4 linked regions of the Nothobranchius furzeri genome follow. The main gene of each other region encodes a partner of the protein of the gene in region 4 in a complex. Links are inferred from orthologs where the notes say so. Each region holds a gene or a part of one and is shown on either strand. Other genes may lie near its edges. The genes, in order: lamtor5, flcn, lamtor2 and fnip1.

Region 1 (4,153 bases), on a different chromosome or scaffold from region 4:
GGCCCAGTGGTTCATGGAACACTGAGTTCTGGCTGTGGAGATGATCAATCACAACCTAAAAATACTGTTTGAATATAACTGATGTAAAAGCTAAAATAAGCCTTGAATCGGACTCAAAACCGTTTGTATTTGTATTTATGTTATTTAGACTTTTGAGATAACAAATTATATCTGAGATTGAAAGTTCGCAGCAGTAATTTTAAATAAATAAATATTCAGGAGCTGTCATTGGGTTGGTAAAATGTTCTGAAAGACGAGATGTTCATTTACCAGAAGATGGCAGCACAACGACATAAATAAAATCCCACAGTTGGTTGACTTCCTCCCTCTCCATCCTCCATGGAGCCTCCGTCCACTAAAGAGGACATTGGCTTTTTAATTTTTTATTCTGTAGTTCAACTTTGGACCCGTTTTTAATGATGATGGGGTTATTTAAATGTCTACGAGGTTATTAGGGGAAATTAAAAAGGGCTTGGAGTCTCAAGAAAATATCTCAGCTGCCTTTTGGGAAAGAAATGAACAACATTCTGGAATCTAATGCCAAGAACCGAGCATGTTCAGTTCAAAGTCACAAATGGCATTGCCTTTGGTAAGTAAATAGAAACTGGAGGAACCAGATAAGCGTACTGGTTTTAGCAACCGCGATGAAGGCTCGGACCCGGATGCTAATAGCTGCTGGGAGACAGTGAACCACTGGATCAGATTCAGAACCCTGAGTCTCTGGTTCTGATCTCTCTCAAAAAGCTTTTTTTAGAGTAATTGATCTCCGTACACATTAATCAGAACCCCCAAAGGTACATCTTAAATACCCCGAGATAGATTTTTAAAAAGAATTACAAGTCAAGCTAAAACCCGGTCAGTGCTCTCACCCTGACTCAGACTCCAGGCACACGGTCGGGGTGACTGTTGGGTCTCTGGTGAGCGCCATAGCTTGTTTGGACAAAACAGACACAACACCACCATGTTCATCAGACAAGGAGCCACGACCTAAAAGAAAAAAGAAAAGAAACACGCAATGAATTATTTAAATGTCTTAAAAAAAGGAAATCAGTGCATCTTTCAAACAGTCATTTTCTGTGATTTGTGTTAATTCCAAACCTGTATACAACAATGACCTCCTTATGAAGGATTGTTAACATATTACAAACATTTCTGTCCCACTGCTGTTATTTAGTCCAGACTGAGGATTTCTGAATTCTGGGGTCTCTCGAGGATCTGAATCATGTTGAACTCATTGTTTGGTTTCTGTCTTCTGCATCTTTTGACTATTTCATTTAGGTTTGTCCATGTACCAGGGAAACATTGCTACTGACTACACAAAACAATACTCATGTTTACCCACTTCCAACAGTTACATCATAACCTTTTCAAAATAACTTTCAACAAGACCTAAAAAGATAATAAAAGTATGAGGACGCTAACAAAGAGCTTAGACTTTGCTGGATGCCTCTGTTATAAATATTAATTAAACCGAACAGAAAAAATATATATACTGATATATCCATCATTTTTCTTCCAATTATCAAAGTCTGGGTTGCTAACAGGTCCAGGAGCGAAGCTCAGATTTCTCTGATCTCAGTGACTCTCCATCTCCATCAAGACAGCTAGAGGGCAGACAGCCCCTCCAGCAAGTTCTATGCTCCAGCAACCGTCAAGCTGTGATTCTTCAGACCACATGATACCTGTCAGCTGCTGCAGGAGTCCTCTGGGAAGTAAAATAATTACTTTATATTATCATCAGTTGTTCTGCTTTGTGTTTCATTGCACAGCTGATGAAAATGGACTGGATATGTTCTGAATTCACAGCCTAAGTAAAATTTAGAGCATGTTCATCTCCCTGAAGTTTGATGAATTGTAGAAGAGATCAAAGTTCAAACTAAACCATGGAAGCCAAACAAGTAACACAGAATCAATTCCACGGAGTATTCACTTTCCCAATGACAGTAATTGTTGTATGTGAATAATGTTCATAAATGACCTCACTAACTAACTGCGTGGTTATTAAGCATTTAGTATTTATTAGTTTATGAGTAATAATCAACAATAAACAATTATAAGCATCATTTTGGATTGGTTGTGTTTAGAGAATTATAAAAACATTACATTTTAATTTTAATTATACCTCATTAGCCTTTGTGATTAAATTTAATTACAGCAGCTTCCTGTTGACCTGTTAAACAGCCAGAAGAGCTCATTCCATCAGAAATGCTAATCTCATTATGCTAACAGTGCAAACACTGTGAAGATTTTCTGGCATGTGAAATAAGTTGAGATTTTAATGGTTGAAATGTATGATTCACAGTAACTTCAACTATACTGTAGTATGTATTTCAACCTTTACAGATGAAAATAGCTAAACTGAAGGAAATAATATTATTTGTGTGTTACATTAATAGCTTTTGCTGCAACTAAGTTATTTCATTATTCAAAAAAAAAAGAACACGACACTGACGTAGCCTTGTAAAAGCTAACTAAACCGAATATGTTTCATACATTTTGCTGTAAATCTTTTTTAAATTAATCTTACAGCCCAGGTTGTGTCCTTGGTGATCTGTGCAGAGCACACCGACAACTGCTGGATTCTTCATGCTACAAAAAAACAAGGAGAAAGGCTTTAATGAAACAAAAAGTGAAGTACGTCAGCAGTTAGAGTGAGATTTTTAACGTACGTGTCATCGAGATGCTGTTCAAGAGTCGACTCCATCGTTAACAAACGAAAAGAGAGAAGGTTTAATTGTTTACAGTTTCATCGACGTTTCCGGTTAGAGTCAGCTGACCGTCACGTGCGCTACGAGTCACAACGAGGACCAAAAAGTGTGACGCGAAAGAGAAAGAGAGAGAGAGAGAGAGAGAGAGAGAGAGAGAGAACGCAAAATCTTTCCATTTACATTACATAAACAAAATAGGCATAGATAGATAGATAGATGATTGATAGATAGATAGATAGATAGATAGATAGATAGATAGATAGATAGATAGATAGATAGATAGATAGATAGATAGATAGATAGATAGATAGATAGATAGATAGATAGATAGATAGATGATAGATAGATAGATAGATAGATAGATTGATAGATTGATAGATAGATAGATAGATAGATAGATAGATAGATAGATAGATAGATAGATAGAAAGAATTAGCATTTTCCTTCAAGTTTTATTAAATTTTCCAATAATAATAATAATAATAATAATGTTATGGGCGGCACCACCTCATCCCCCGTCACACTGAACACTGGTGCACCGCAGGGGTGTGTGCTGAGCCCTCTCCTGTACTCACTCTACACCTACGACTGCACGGCCACGAGAAACTCCAACATCATTGTGAAGTATGCGAACGACACCACAGTGATAGGTCTCATCACCAATCACGATGAGACGGCCTACAGGGAGGAGATCAGCGCCCTGACCCACTGGTGTCAGGACAACAGTCTCACCCTCAACGTCACAAAGACAAAGGAGATGATAGTGGACTTCCGGAGGAGCAGAGGAAGCAGAGGAATACACCCCCCCATCACCATCAACGGCGACGCTGTGGAGAGGGTGAGCAGTTTCCGTTTCCTTGGAGTTCACCTGGCAGAGGATCTTACGTGGTCAGTGCACACGGAAAATACAGTGAAGAAGGCACAGCAGCGCCTCTTCTTTCTCAGAAGACTGAAAAGATTTGGCATGAGCCACCGTATCCTCAGGACCTTCTATTGCTGTGCCATTGAGAGCATCCTCACTGGATGCATCTCCACCTGGTATGGCAACAGCACCGCTTACAACCGCAAAGCTCTCCAGAGAGTAGTGCGGTGTGCAGAAAGGATTATTGGAGGTGAGCTTCCCTCCCTCCAGGACATCTATAAGAAGCGGTGCCTGAGGAAAACGGGGAGGATCATCAAGGACTCAAGTCACCCCAGCCATAAACTGTTCAGACTACTTCCATCAGGAAGGAGGTTCTGCAGCATCCGGTCCAGAACCAGCAGACTGAGAGACAGCTTTTTCCATCAGGCCATCAGACTGCTGAACACTTCACAGACACCTCACCCTCACTACTGAAACTCCAACATTACACATTCCATACTGTACATTAATGCCACTGTTTTGCACATACCAGCCTCTATATATTTTATATCTCTTATCTTATTGTTTACTTTATTCATTTGTA
Region 2 (4,263 bases), on a different chromosome or scaffold from region 4:
TTTCTTCTACCCTTTCTCAGTGGCCTAGTGGTAGAGTGTCCTGAGACTGGGAGATCAGGGGTTCAACTCCTGGTCGGGTCATACCAAAGACTGAAAAATTGGGACCCAATGCCTCCCTGCTTGACACTCAGCATTAAGGGGTTGGATTGGGGGCTTAAACCACCAAATAGTTCCCGAGCGCGGCTGTGTCTGCAGCTCACCGCTCCCCCAGGGGATGGGTCAAATGCGGAGAATAAATGTCACACACATACCTGTGTGTGTGACAACTAATGGGACTTTAACTTTGACTTTAAAAGAATAATAGATGTCTGCGCCGTTGCTAGACGCCATTTTTTAACTACAGCGTTGCATGGTACAGTCGGCATGTACGTCTTTTTTCTCATTGGTTATTTTTGAGCTGTCTAGTCCCGCCCCTCAAGTGCCTCTCCGCCTGTGAGTTACCAGACTCTTTGTGCAGAATTAAACAGAGGACGAGTCTGGCCGGCCAGGCTAGCTATCATCTACATTACCAGACAAATATTTGAGATCACTTGAAAATATCATGTTTCTTTCTGCTGCGTGCCAGAACCCTGTTGCGCTGATCTGGGAACAGCTGGCCCATAGGGTATATGGGGGGGGGGGGGGGGGGGGGTCGCATTAGATAATCTGCTAGAAGGAGACACCCAGGAATGTCTGTGGGCTGCCAGGCTGTGACTACTGCAAAGCTGCTCTGTGGTTTTTGAAGAAAACATTGATCATTTCCATTAAATGATTTAGAATCATGTAAAAAAAAGGTTTTTGTTTGGACATTTATTTTTATTTTTTATCAATGAACAAAGTTCATTCCACAGTCGTGTCTGGGCCGAGCCCCAAAAATTCTCCAAAAGTCTTTTAATCACTTTCTAAATCTCGACAAACCGGGGTTTAACTGTGAAGTGGTGTGTCATGTTTTCCTGGATCAAATGCCTTTCCCGATCGACTCTGTGATTCACTCTTACGGATTTCAGGCTGACTAGTTGAACAAACAAAAACACTAGCCATAGCAGTGAATGTCTGATGAAATCATGTCTTTCTACCTGTTTTTCTCTCAAGAAGAACCAGCGTGTCCTCTGTTGGGGCTCCTTCAAGGAGCTTTTCTGTCAGACGACAACCACAGGCTTTCAGTAACCTAAAAAGGAAGTGAAAACACACATCAGCTTGGTAAGTCATAAAAGTAACGTGGAGAAATCACAATGGCTGGCTATTAAAAGTCTATCTCAACTCACCAGCTGAAGGAGCAATGCAGGCTGGCCCAGAGATTGGGATGCTGAGTGAGAGAAGTTAGCGATCGGGCTGCGTTGCCACTTCTTTGATGTGGAAAAACCGCAGGAGAAAACACGCTGTTCATCCTCAGAGCTCGCTGGGGACAAATACCCTGTTCAGTGTCAAACACCTGATGGACAAAAAGATGGCAAAACAGCACAAACTGACTTATTAAAATGACAAAGTGTTTGTCCAGTAAAAAAAAATGAATGCACAGTCTACATTTAGGCTCTACCTTTAGAGCTGTGCTTTGCAGACTTTGTATAGTGAGTTTGAGGTGTCGTAACAGGAAAGGCCAGGAGTTGATGAGGTAGATCCTGTCCATGGCCACTACAACTATACTGTACCAGCGCTGAAACCCACGGGCCAGGCTGTCCTTGATGAAGAACGTGTGTGAGAACACAAACCCGTGTTGTTCATCACCGAAAAAGATCGGCCCTTCACGTCCAGGGCACACCTGAAACCCAACAACAAAAAGACTCGCGTTTTTGGAGGAGGGGAGGTTAGAAAAGGTCCTCCTCAGTTAGATCAGGTAGAGTTTACCTCACAGCTGAGACTGCGTACACAAGCCTGACGAACTACACTGAAAAGCTGAGACTGTCTGGGGTGCTGATGGCTCACAAAGCGAATTCCTGTTTCATCATCGATGCTCACGAAGCCTGGGTGAGACGCAGGTAGAGATCGGCATCCCTGTGAGGCATGGACAGGAGGGAAAAGGAGAACTTCGATTACAGGATTATTAAATAATGTTGCTGCTCTATCTTCTTAAACCATAATGAGTTGTGGCGGGTGGCTGCTCATACTGAGCCTGGCTCTTCTGGGGCTAAAAGGGAGTTTTCCACTCCACTGTCGCTACACACTTGCTTAGTGTGAGCACTGCAATCTGCTGAGTTCCTTTGTATAGAAATGTTTACTATGTGAAGTGACTTGAGACGACTGTTGTCGTGACTATAAATAAACTGAATTGAATGAACCTTCTCCAAGGTTTACTGTGGGTGAGATCCCATCACGCATGCCCACTCACCTCACACATCTCCCCTCTTTGAGACACAGACCCGCTGGCCCTCATGGTCAGACCTTCACCCTCCCGATCAGCATCTCTGTCCCCTGGAACCGGGGTGCCCACCTGAGAGGAGGGGTCTGGGGATGGAGGGTGTAGCGCCTCGGTACAGAATAGTGTCCGAGGGCCATGGAGCTCACAGAAGTGACACAAAGCTACCAGAGCATTCATCTGAGAAACGGATCAAGCGTTTATGAGAATCTAATCAACGTAATTTATGACATAGTTTTTATTCACAAGCTAACACCCGTTTAAGCCATTTTAACCAGCAGCAACGAGAGGATCTCACCTTTAGCACTGAGAGTTAGACTGGAGCTCGCTGCTGCTTCACTCGTTTGTGTTAAAAATGTATAAACAACAAAAGCGTGACGCTAAATCAAATATTTCGTCTACATGTCTCGTATAAAACGCGCGAATTCAAGAGAATAAATCCTCTCAGCACTTTCTCGTCTCAGTCTCGAGTTGTTAGCAAACAGCACAGTCACGTGACCTCGAGTCACGCGCTCGGACACAAATCATGACGTACGTCACGGAGTTGATTAAGTTTAATCATAATTACTATTTTATGATTTATTTAAAATAAAATAATGTCGTCTGTGAGCAGATAGTTTTCATATGGGAAAATGTGTTGCTAGCATTTGACTTTACGAAGCGTGTTTCGTCGAAAGACAACATAAAACTACATTACCCAGAGTTAAGTTCGAGGAGGGTAAAGGTTACGAATGAGTTGGTCAGCGTTTCTCTAGAGTGCTAAAAAGTACGGAGCTACAGAGGACCGTGTGGTAATGTACTTTTAATAAATATAAAACACCATTTCTTAAAACGTTTGTATTTGTGATTTAAATGTAATTAACATTGTATAATGTTGAATTTACAGCATGTGTGTTTACTTTATTAGCTCATCAGTAACTTCCGTGTTTCATTGTAAAGGAAAAGGCAAAGCCCAACAGGGACGTAGGAGCCTTTCTGAACTGGGAATGGCGTCAGACGGATCAGGAGTTCCCCCAGAATCCGCAGTGGACGGTGGAGGGACCCCCCCAGCTGAAACTAAAAGTAGGAAAGATGCCCAACAAGCCACGAGAGGTAAATGCCTGTTTTAGTGTTTGTCTTTTCTCATGTCTGTCATTCTCTCTCTCTCTCTCTCTCTCTCTCTCTCTCTCTCTCTCTCTCTCTCTCTCTCTCTCTCTCTCTCTCTCTCTCTCTCTCTCTCTCTCTCAATATATGTATATTTATATGTATATAAATATAAAAAAATCTGTATTTCTCTCTCTCTCGCCGTCTTTCTTCCCTGTGTCTACCCACCTGCCAGTCATGTTGGTCAGATTTGGTTCTGTTGTCTGAGTGAGCCTCCAGTGACTTGGCCATCTTCACCACAAGTTGCAGTCACTTCCTGTTGCTCTACAGATGCATCTTGTCAGTAGGTCACTGGTAATGGTGACAAGGATGGAGAGGGGACTTTTCAACCACAGCCTTCTGCTGAAGTGACTCTTCTGCAGTCATGTGTGGTGTAGAGTTGAGCAGAGATGCTCAGTGTGGTAGCCCCCTAACCATCTCCACATTCCAAGTGGTCGAAACAGGAAGATCTAGCAAACAATGGCTCTGAACTAGCAATGCAACTGCTTTGGTGGAAAACCCCTAACCTCACCTCTGTAACATGTAGCTCACCTCAGTAGCTCAACAGGTTGAGCGGGTTGTCCAGTAATTGGAAGGTTGCAGGTTCGATCACGGCTCCGGACAGATAATTCTGCTGTTGTGTCCTTGGGCAAGACACTTAACCCACCTTGCCTGCTGGTGGTGGTCGGGGTCCGGTTGCGCCTGTGCTCGGCAGCCTCGCCTCTGTCTGTGCGCCCCAGGGCAGCTGTGGCTACATTGTAGCTCATCCCCACCAGTGTATGAATGTGTGTGTGAATGGATGAATGATA
Region 3 (4,004 bases), on a different chromosome or scaffold from region 4:
TGGGTGATTAAAATTTTTATTTTGAAAGCTGAGACTTTCTTTATCTGGCTGCAGGTGAGAAAGTATATTTGATGCTAATGCCTCAAGAGAAAATCACTAACTGGTATCAATTAAAACTCATTAGTTGATTAAATGGAGTTAAACAGAATGCACATGCACTCGTGAGTTTTCTTAGCTTTTAAGTTACCCAGATCTTCTGACTTATTAAAAAAGGTTTTGTTTTTAAAGTATTGGATACTGAAAGAGTGAAAAGTTTCATCAGATTTTTGTGAAATCTGTGATTACTGAAAGAAATAAAATTATCTGGTGATGAAACTCAAAGACAAGCAAGGTAAGCTTCTCTAAACCCGCAAATTCTCCCTTTCACAAGATTTTCAGAGCAAATTTAAGTTTATCTCACCTGATACTGCATATTTAAAATTGTTTAAAAACGTTCAGAGGTGTATACGAGGGTGAAACACACCCAACCGTCACCAGCTCAAAGCAGGATTTAAAAGAATGGGTGACTCTGAGCCAGTATCTCTCATTTATCAAACAACCTTGACATAAAACACAAGTAAATAACAATCTCAACTGCATTTTTCAGAAAGATTCATATAAAATCTCCACACACGTTTTTATCATGATGTACATCTGTGACTCCTAAAAATGTTCAGTTTCACATTGAACAACAAAACTATGACCGAATGGACCGATTCCAAGTGAAAACTGAAAATGGAATCACATTTCAGCTGTACACACACACACACACACACACACACACACACACACACACACACACACACACACACACACACACACACACACACACACACACACACACACACCCCTCCATTTAGAGACATGGCCCTTTGTACACTTAGTGTTGGACAGGAGGGTTACAGCAGTCCACCGATGACCTGAACAGCTGATTTCTTCTTCAGTTCAGACCAACAGAAGCGTTGGTCGGATCTTCACTACGATGCGGCCACTTGAGTCAACGGTTCCTCCAGATACTGAACCAGAGCCTCTGCCTACAAACACAATAAAGCACAATTACTGGAAAAGATTAAATCTGGTACGACCTTTAAACTGATCAGAAACTTCAGCCTCAGTTCAGATTTAGCTGGGTTCTCCATGAGCTGCTCTAGCTGGACAAACCTGATGAACCTCATCCACGTGCCTCCCTGGGTCACTCTAAAGGACTTCCTGTTTTAAACAGTGGAACAGAAGTCTAGAACCACTCAGCACATTCCTCAGAAATACTAAAAGTGGTTTAATCTGTGTTTAAATGATTAGTTTCAAATGATTTGCACATTCAATGGTTTATTTAATGATCTGCCCTTACATTTTAGCCCTTTAAGTATAAAACGTTTTAGTTAAGACTTACGTTTAATATATGTGAACAGAATATGTCAATAGAAAGTGTTGAAAGGGTTAAAAGCAAAGTTAAAAGCAGTTTTCTTTGCCATCCAAACAACTGTTGTAAAATAATGCTTTAAACTCAATTGACAGAAGAGCTCCAACACATAAAATCTTTACCAATAAAAAGCAAAACGTGGGAAACAATTAGAAGAAAAGGCCCCGAACTCTCACCTTGGCTTTCAGCATCCCGAATCCCACAGTCTCTTTGGCATATATGCACAGCAGCAGGTTGGCTACACGAGTGATGGCCACTCTTCCCTCCTTAAAAAAAAACAAATACACAGAAGAAGGTTACAATTTGAGGTCAGCCTAATGTTTTAGCCTGAATCGGAGCTGTGTTTCTCACCATACAGTCCATGAGGATGAAGGTAAGCTTGTCTTCGTTGAAGGCTTGGTGGCCATTCTTGTCGTAAGCTGCCCAGATGTTGCTGGCGATGGCAGCTGTTACGCGTGCATCGGTATCTCCATAACCAGAGTAAGCCAGGAGGGAACCTTCATTATTCAGCAAGCTGAGAGGATAAACACGTGACACATACTAAGACAGCCTACTCATAAGTTATCTGTGTTGTTAGAAATAATCTTGATGTATGTTTAGATGGTGCAGCTAATGCCTCATCATACAATTAACATTTAGAAAGGTTGACTATTTTAGACACTAATGTGTAAATTAGAAATATTTTATAAATCATCTCATTGAAATTGATCATTATAAACCGAGGTATTTGTTAGGATCTGTTGCAACAGCGTTCTAATCTGTGACATTATAAAAACAGCTACGATAAAAATCATTAAATGCGCAAGTTTTACATTCAAATAACTAAAATTATGTCTTTTAAGCATTAAGAGTTCCCAAAAAACAACGCTTATTTTTCTTTGGGCGAGCTTTCCTTGTACAAAAAACGATAAGCAGCTAAGAGTCAGAGTAAATAGCATCTTAGCATCTCGTTAGCTTGTCGCTAACTCGTACTTACAGAGTGCTCTGGACTCCGTTTGTGTTCGCTTGGCTGAGGACCTGCGTCAGAGCTTTGGGTCGCAACATCGCTGTCGACCTCACCAAAGAATAAAAACGGTTTTAATAATAATAAGAAAAAAACACGAAGTATTTTGATAGTATGTTGATGTACGTGAAGAGCAATGCGTCCAGGCAGTCAGCTGACTTGTCTTTCCGCATTTCCGGCTTCCTTCGCATTGCACTTTGGGAAATGTTGTCTCGCGGTCGTAACTAAAAAGGATTTTCATTGGCCGTGCTCGAGTTGATGGCCTCGCCTGGAAAACAGACGAGAGCAGACGGAAGCAGCAGGGGGAGTGGCTGAAAGCCGGCGTTTAGGTCGGACACAATTTCCTGCATGTGTAGGATGGCTGAAGATATCGCGTTAGAGTTACTTGTTTAATTTTCAATTTTAATTCTGGTGCCTGTTAGCAGCTGAAACACATCCTCACGTGCTTGTGGATATCATGTATTGTATATGAAGACATGATTGTAATAATAAGCAGTGTTGGGAACGTTACTTTAAAAAAGTAATTAGTTATAGTTACTGATTACTTTGTCAAAAAAGTAACTCAGTTACTAACTGAGTTACAAGATCATAAAAGTAACTAATTACCAACAAAAGTAACTACTTAGTTACTTTTTTCATTAAAGAATGCAAGAATTACTACAATAGTAAAATATAAATGACTAATGACTGAACATAATAAAATGTATGTCCAAATGTTTTATATAAACCTGAATAATTTAAACAAATATGCACTTAACAGGAGGAACTACTAATAGGAACATTACACTAATCTAGACTATTAAAAGGTCACTGTGTGATATTTAACAAGACCCCAATCAGCTAAAATTTAAAATTGCAAATAGAAACACCTGTAAAGGTTCCCGAGCCTTTAAATGGTCTCTCAGTCTAGTTAAATTACAGAAATAAATGTAATTTTGCACAGTATTCTAATTTTTCCAGCTTCACATAATTGTGTGTTTTTAGCAGCATTTCTGTTGCTGCTAATCTAGTAACGGTTAAATAAATAAATAAATATCCTTTAAAATGACACTAGAAGAGGCACAGATCTGATGGAGGACTTACATTTACTAACTTGGGTCAGACCCAACCACAGAAGAGCTGAAGCTGGGTGGTGAACACACACAGTTCTGATAACACCTGAGCTCCATGACGTCTGAGACTGATGCATCAGTGTTACAGCGGGACTAAAGACATGATCAGAAACAGGTTACAGCTGGATGATCTAGGAAGGTAGAAGATCAGGACGTCTGAGCGGACCTTCGGGACGTCCCGCTGTCACGCTAAGAAGGGCACGGCTGCAGACCCGCACCTGCAGCCGTAGATATTCATCACGTGTTCCTCGTTCTTCACGGGCCGTGACGCACTTGGATGAAAACATCTACCTCTTTAGCTCCTGATCAGCTGATGATAACAGCTTCAACACACCGCGCTGCTTCACGCACGCATTTTCTTATCAGTAACAGAAACGATGTTTTGATAAAAGAAGACGGTAATTAATTAGTTTGCTCGTTACAGAAAGAAATATTTTTATTAACGTGGTTATTTTAAACGGAGTTATTCCCGTTGTGTCTACAGAATGCA
Region 4 (4,080 bases):
TCACACTGAAGCCACTACTAGTTCACTAGCTGAGGTTCCTCTGGCCAGCATGTTAACTTGTGTGCCGCATGCAAATGTTTGGGGTGGGATTTTACGAAATTCCGCACTGTGATTGGTTGTCATATTTTATTTTGACACAGGGAGCCAATAGAGAGTCTTAATTTGAGAAATTCTCCGCCTCCTAATTAGAATGCTGCGCAACTAGCTAGCTAGTGTGAATGTAGACTTGAACTAGTTTACTAGTATACATTTATGTCCTCACTAGTTAACTAGTTTGGACAATGGATGCATCAACTAGGTAACTAGTGAGCCTGCTGCCATCAACTAGCTAGCTAGTGAGTCATTAATGGTTCACTAGTTAACTAGTGGCACTGACCTACTCCAACTAGTTAACTAGTTAGGAGTTAAGCCTTCACTAGTTAACTAGTGTGCACATTTTGGCCATCAATAGTTAACTAGTGAGACACAAAAAACCTTCAACTAGCTGACTGGTATGCACTTTGGCCTTTACTAGTTAACTAGTGAGCCATTTATGTGTCAACTAGTTAACTAGTGAAGCCAAAATGTGTTCACTAGTTAACTAGTGCACATTTATGTCTACCACAAGTTAACTAGTGTGCACATTTTGGCCATCACTAGTTAACTAGTGAGACACAAAAACCTTCAACTAGCTGACTGGTGTGCATTTTGGTCTTTACTAGTTAACTAGTGAGCCATTTATGTGTCAACTAGTTAACTAGTGAAGCCAAAATATGTTCACTAGTTAACTAGTGCACATTTATGTCTACCACAAGTTAACTAGTGTGCACATTTTGACCCTCACTAGTTAACTAGTGAGACAAATACCTTCAACTAGCTGACTGGTATACATTTCTGCTTTTACTAGTTAACTAGTGAGCAGTTTTTGTGTCAACTAGTTAACTACTGAAGCCTAAATGTGTTCACTAGTTAACTAGTGCGCATTTCTGCTGCCACTAGTTAACTAGTGGGCACATTTTCACCCTCGATATTTAACTAGTTGACACAAACATGCCTAACTAGTTAACTAGTGGACAGAAATGGCTTACATGTTCATGACAATTCTGGCTGATATCCTGATATCAGAATAAATGCTCATTTGGCTTGCCATACAGACCAAACATCAACACAGCGAACCCTCTAACCACGTGGTACCCAGCCAATAATATCAGCCAATCACGTAATTTGTTGCAGCTACCACGCCTGCTGAGCCAATCACAAAAAAGCAGTGGGTTACTAAGCAGCTCCTGTGACTAATGCCTGTCATATGACTCTGACACCCATGGAGACAGTTACAAGGAACAAGATTTCCTCTCGGATTTAAAAACAAAAGAAAACTGTAGAGAATTTCTTTTGGTTGAAAATGCCTCCGACTCTCTTCCAGAAACTTTTCAACAAGAGAAGTGCAGTCTCGTCGCCGCCTCCGAGATGTAGCAAAGGGGATCCCGCTTTCAGGTAGCTGTTTTGTGTTTGTAAATATGTTTGTGTGCAACGTTAATTGCGCTAAAATTGTGTAATTTGTTAACCTGTGTGGATGTTTAACGGTCTTCTAGTGATACTTGATTTGTTTTTAGCCGGCTGGGGTGTACACAAAAAATCTTTATCCTTTAGAAATTTAAACCTTGGTGAAGGAAAGCGGTTGGAGACGTGGGAAACGTGCTTGTTGTTGGTGAGGAAGCTAACGTGCTAACGATAGCTCCTAGCAATGCTACTGCCCACGCTGCATTAGTAGCTTCCCTCGACAGCCGATTTAAACAAAAAGCCCTCATCGTTTGCAGTTGATACGAAGTTAGCACAAAATGCCTTGTCTGGAAAGTGTCGTTTTCCACTTCATTGCTATGAAGTTGCAGAGGCATGTCCTTGTTTTTTTTCCTCCGCGTGTTTCCGCTCGAGTTTTTTGTTGTTACTGGCGATACAGGCAGTTTATCTCTAGCTAGCATGAATAAATTGGTATAAGTGGCTTTTCTCAGCCTTGCAGACGTTGCTGTGTGGTTAGACAACAGTGGAGGACACTGTGTGCTCTAGCGGAGAGCATGTGATGGCTCAACTTGGCCACCAAGGCACGGATCAATGCCAAACAGGGCATCAGCCTGCAGGTCATTCACAACGTTATGTATATTTTAAAGGAAAATTAAATATTGCTTCTCACACACGTTTCATTTCCAAAGTAATTTTGTAAAAAATATAATTTCGAGTTTGAAGTGCTTTCATTATATTTATTATTGCCTGGAATCACAATGTTTCCATTATTTTAGCCCTAAAATTAGATAAAAGAACTGCTTTGATGAACATTTTTGGCTTTTTTTTTCAGTTTAATAAACAGGCAGTTAAAAATAACAGTTTGAACATTTGTATTTTTTCCCTGAAATACATGTTTTTAATCTTTTTAGAGACCACTGATTTTAGTTAAAAACAGGGGCAGATTTAGGACTGAAGAAGATCCGGGGCTTAACACACACACACACACACACACACACACGCACACACACACACACACACGCACACACATGACACGCACTAGTCAACATATATATTTGTCTTGTACCACATAATTTTTAATCTGAAGCTACTTATTAAGCATATTCAGGGCAGAGTATTGTTCCTGTTAATGGTTAGTGTGAGATGATAGTAAATATTCCCTTTCTTTCTCCAACAACTTTACCTGATAAGCTAACTTTAGGCAAACCAGCAGCACAACAAATATTTTCAAATAAGACTCACAAACCTGAGTCAACACCAGTCTCATCAAAGCTGGGGTTCTGTCGTTGTACTTTTGGTCTAAAAAACGTCCTTATGTCCATCTTCACACATGCGTTTCAGGCAGACTAGAAGAAGCCGGCTGCTGAAGGGCTTTTTCTTCAGTAGTGGAGGCTCAGGCAGGCTGTATACAAACTACTGCCAGCTGCTCCCTCTCTGTTGGACTTTGGTACTGCATGTTACTTCCGCGATTTAGATCAGGGGCTTTTCATAAAACATCCGGGGCTTCAGCCCAAGTAGCCGGGCCTAATGCCGCCCTCGGTTAAAAAGCAGCCAAATCAAAAAGAACAATACATTATTATATTGTTATTAATAATAATGTTATTTGAAAAGGGACCCGCCCACTGGCAGAGCAGCAGGCACCTTAATAATAATAATAATAATTAATAAACCTCTCTGCCTCTGAAGGTGTTTAAACCTGCAAAAAAGACTACTTCCTTTGCTTCTATCTCAATAAATACACAAATTGCAGATGATTTGGGTAATCATGTCAAATAATATTTTCCATTTGACTTTTGTCATTTCTACCTGTCTAATCAAACAATGAATGTATGCCAATGTACATATCATTAAAAAATGTCTTTTTAGCCAGAATTTTTTAATGAATATATAATTAAACAAAAGCCCTAATTTTATGGTTATATTAATCTGTTATTTACATGCTTTCTTTTGCCATTTCACCGATTTGCAGTGGCATTGTCTCAAGTAATTGTAAGCAAATGTTTGAGTTCTTGTGATATTTTTCAGGCCTAACCCATTTATTTTATTCCTGTTAATTACATTCAATTAAACGATGATACTTTGGGGGACAAAGGTGTTTAATGAGAGCAGAATACATGCGCATGCTGCATATGAAATGAAGAATATCTAAGACCAGTACTAAGCTGTATAAGTATTTATTGAGGTAATAGTTAATGTGGTAGAACCATGCATCTTTGAGAAGGTTAGCGTAATACTAGGAAACTCAGTTAATTTGCACATTTGTATGTTCAGGGTCAGGTATGCTACCAAGGAGAACGGACTTTAGAGTTGCAAATGCCTTTTCATTTTGAAAGATGTTGCTGCCATCTTTTCATGTTATTTTGGATATATATTTATATCCAAAAAGTGCACCTCCTTTGCGGTGCTTCTTGCACGTTGACCAATGTTGTGTCATAACATTTCTGCAGCTGTAAAGGTGCCCTGCACCCACTGATGTAAAGGCTGTGTGTGTGGGCTGAAGGGAGGGTGGAGGTGGCTGGCATCAGTCCTAGAGCAAACAGACAGTCAGCAGGCGTTTCTGTTAACTCAGTGGTCAGCTGTGCT

Evidence for each region.
Region 1: fnip1 (region 4) and lamtor5 share a complex: the UniProt entries of both Homo sapiens proteins name them as parts of the lysosomal folliculin complex. The link is inferred for Nothobranchius furzeri from reciprocal best matches to the Homo sapiens genes FNIP1 and LAMTOR5.
Region 2: fnip1 (region 4) and flcn share a complex: the UniProt entries of both Homo sapiens proteins name them as parts of the lysosomal folliculin complex. The link is inferred for Nothobranchius furzeri from reciprocal best matches to the Homo sapiens genes FNIP1 and FLCN.
Region 3: fnip1 (region 4) and lamtor2 share a complex: the UniProt entries of both Homo sapiens proteins name them as parts of the lysosomal folliculin complex. The link is inferred for Nothobranchius furzeri from reciprocal best matches to the Homo sapiens genes FNIP1 and LAMTOR2.

Annotation. Positions count from the first base shown.
Region 1 is NC_091755.1:27,982,256-27,986,408, reverse strand, and holds the start of lamtor5 (ragulator complex protein LAMTOR5), read right to left. Parts: upstream 2,812-4,153; 5' UTR 2,705-2,811; coding exon 2,670-2,704; intron 2,590-2,669; coding exon 2,528-2,589; intron 988-2,527; coding exon 870-987; intron 1-869. UniProt on the Homo sapiens protein: As part of the Ragulator complex it is involved in amino acid sensing and activation of mTORC1, a signaling complex promoting cell growth in response to growth factors, energy levels, and amino acids.
Region 2 is NC_091745.1:76,768,642-76,772,904, forward strand, and holds the start of flcn (folliculin), read right to left. Parts: upstream 2,838-4,263; 5' UTR 2,631-2,837; intron 2,513-2,630; coding exon 2,306-2,512; intron 1,972-2,305; coding exon 1,825-1,971; intron 1,739-1,824; coding exon 1,517-1,738; intron 1,412-1,516; coding exon 1,245-1,411; intron 1,148-1,244; coding exon 1,056-1,147; intron 1-1,055. Other genes in the region: leng9 (leukocyte receptor cluster member 9), read left to right, coding at 3,319-3,424. UniProt on the Homo sapiens protein: Multi-functional protein, involved in both the cellular response to amino acid availability and in the regulation of glycolysis.
Region 3 is NC_091745.1:61,225,405-61,229,408, forward strand, and holds lamtor2 (ragulator complex protein LAMTOR2), read right to left. Parts: upstream 2,661-4,004; 5' UTR 2,444-2,660; coding exon 2,376-2,443; intron 1,914-2,375; coding exon 1,751-1,913; intron 1,666-1,750; coding exon 1,576-1,665; intron 1,014-1,575; coding exon 957-1,013; 3' UTR 515-956; downstream 1-514. UniProt on the Homo sapiens protein: As part of the Ragulator complex it is involved in amino acid sensing and activation of mTORC1, a signaling complex promoting cell growth in response to growth factors, energy levels, and amino acids.
Region 4 is NC_091750.1:58,896,486-58,900,565, forward strand, and holds the start of fnip1 (folliculin-interacting protein 1), read left to right. Parts: upstream 1-1,275; 5' UTR 1,276-1,381; coding exon 1,382-1,473; intron 1,474-4,080. UniProt on the Homo sapiens protein: Binding partner of the GTPase-activating protein FLCN: involved in the cellular response to amino acid availability by regulating the non-canonical mTORC1 signaling cascade controlling the MiT/TFE factors TFEB and TFE3.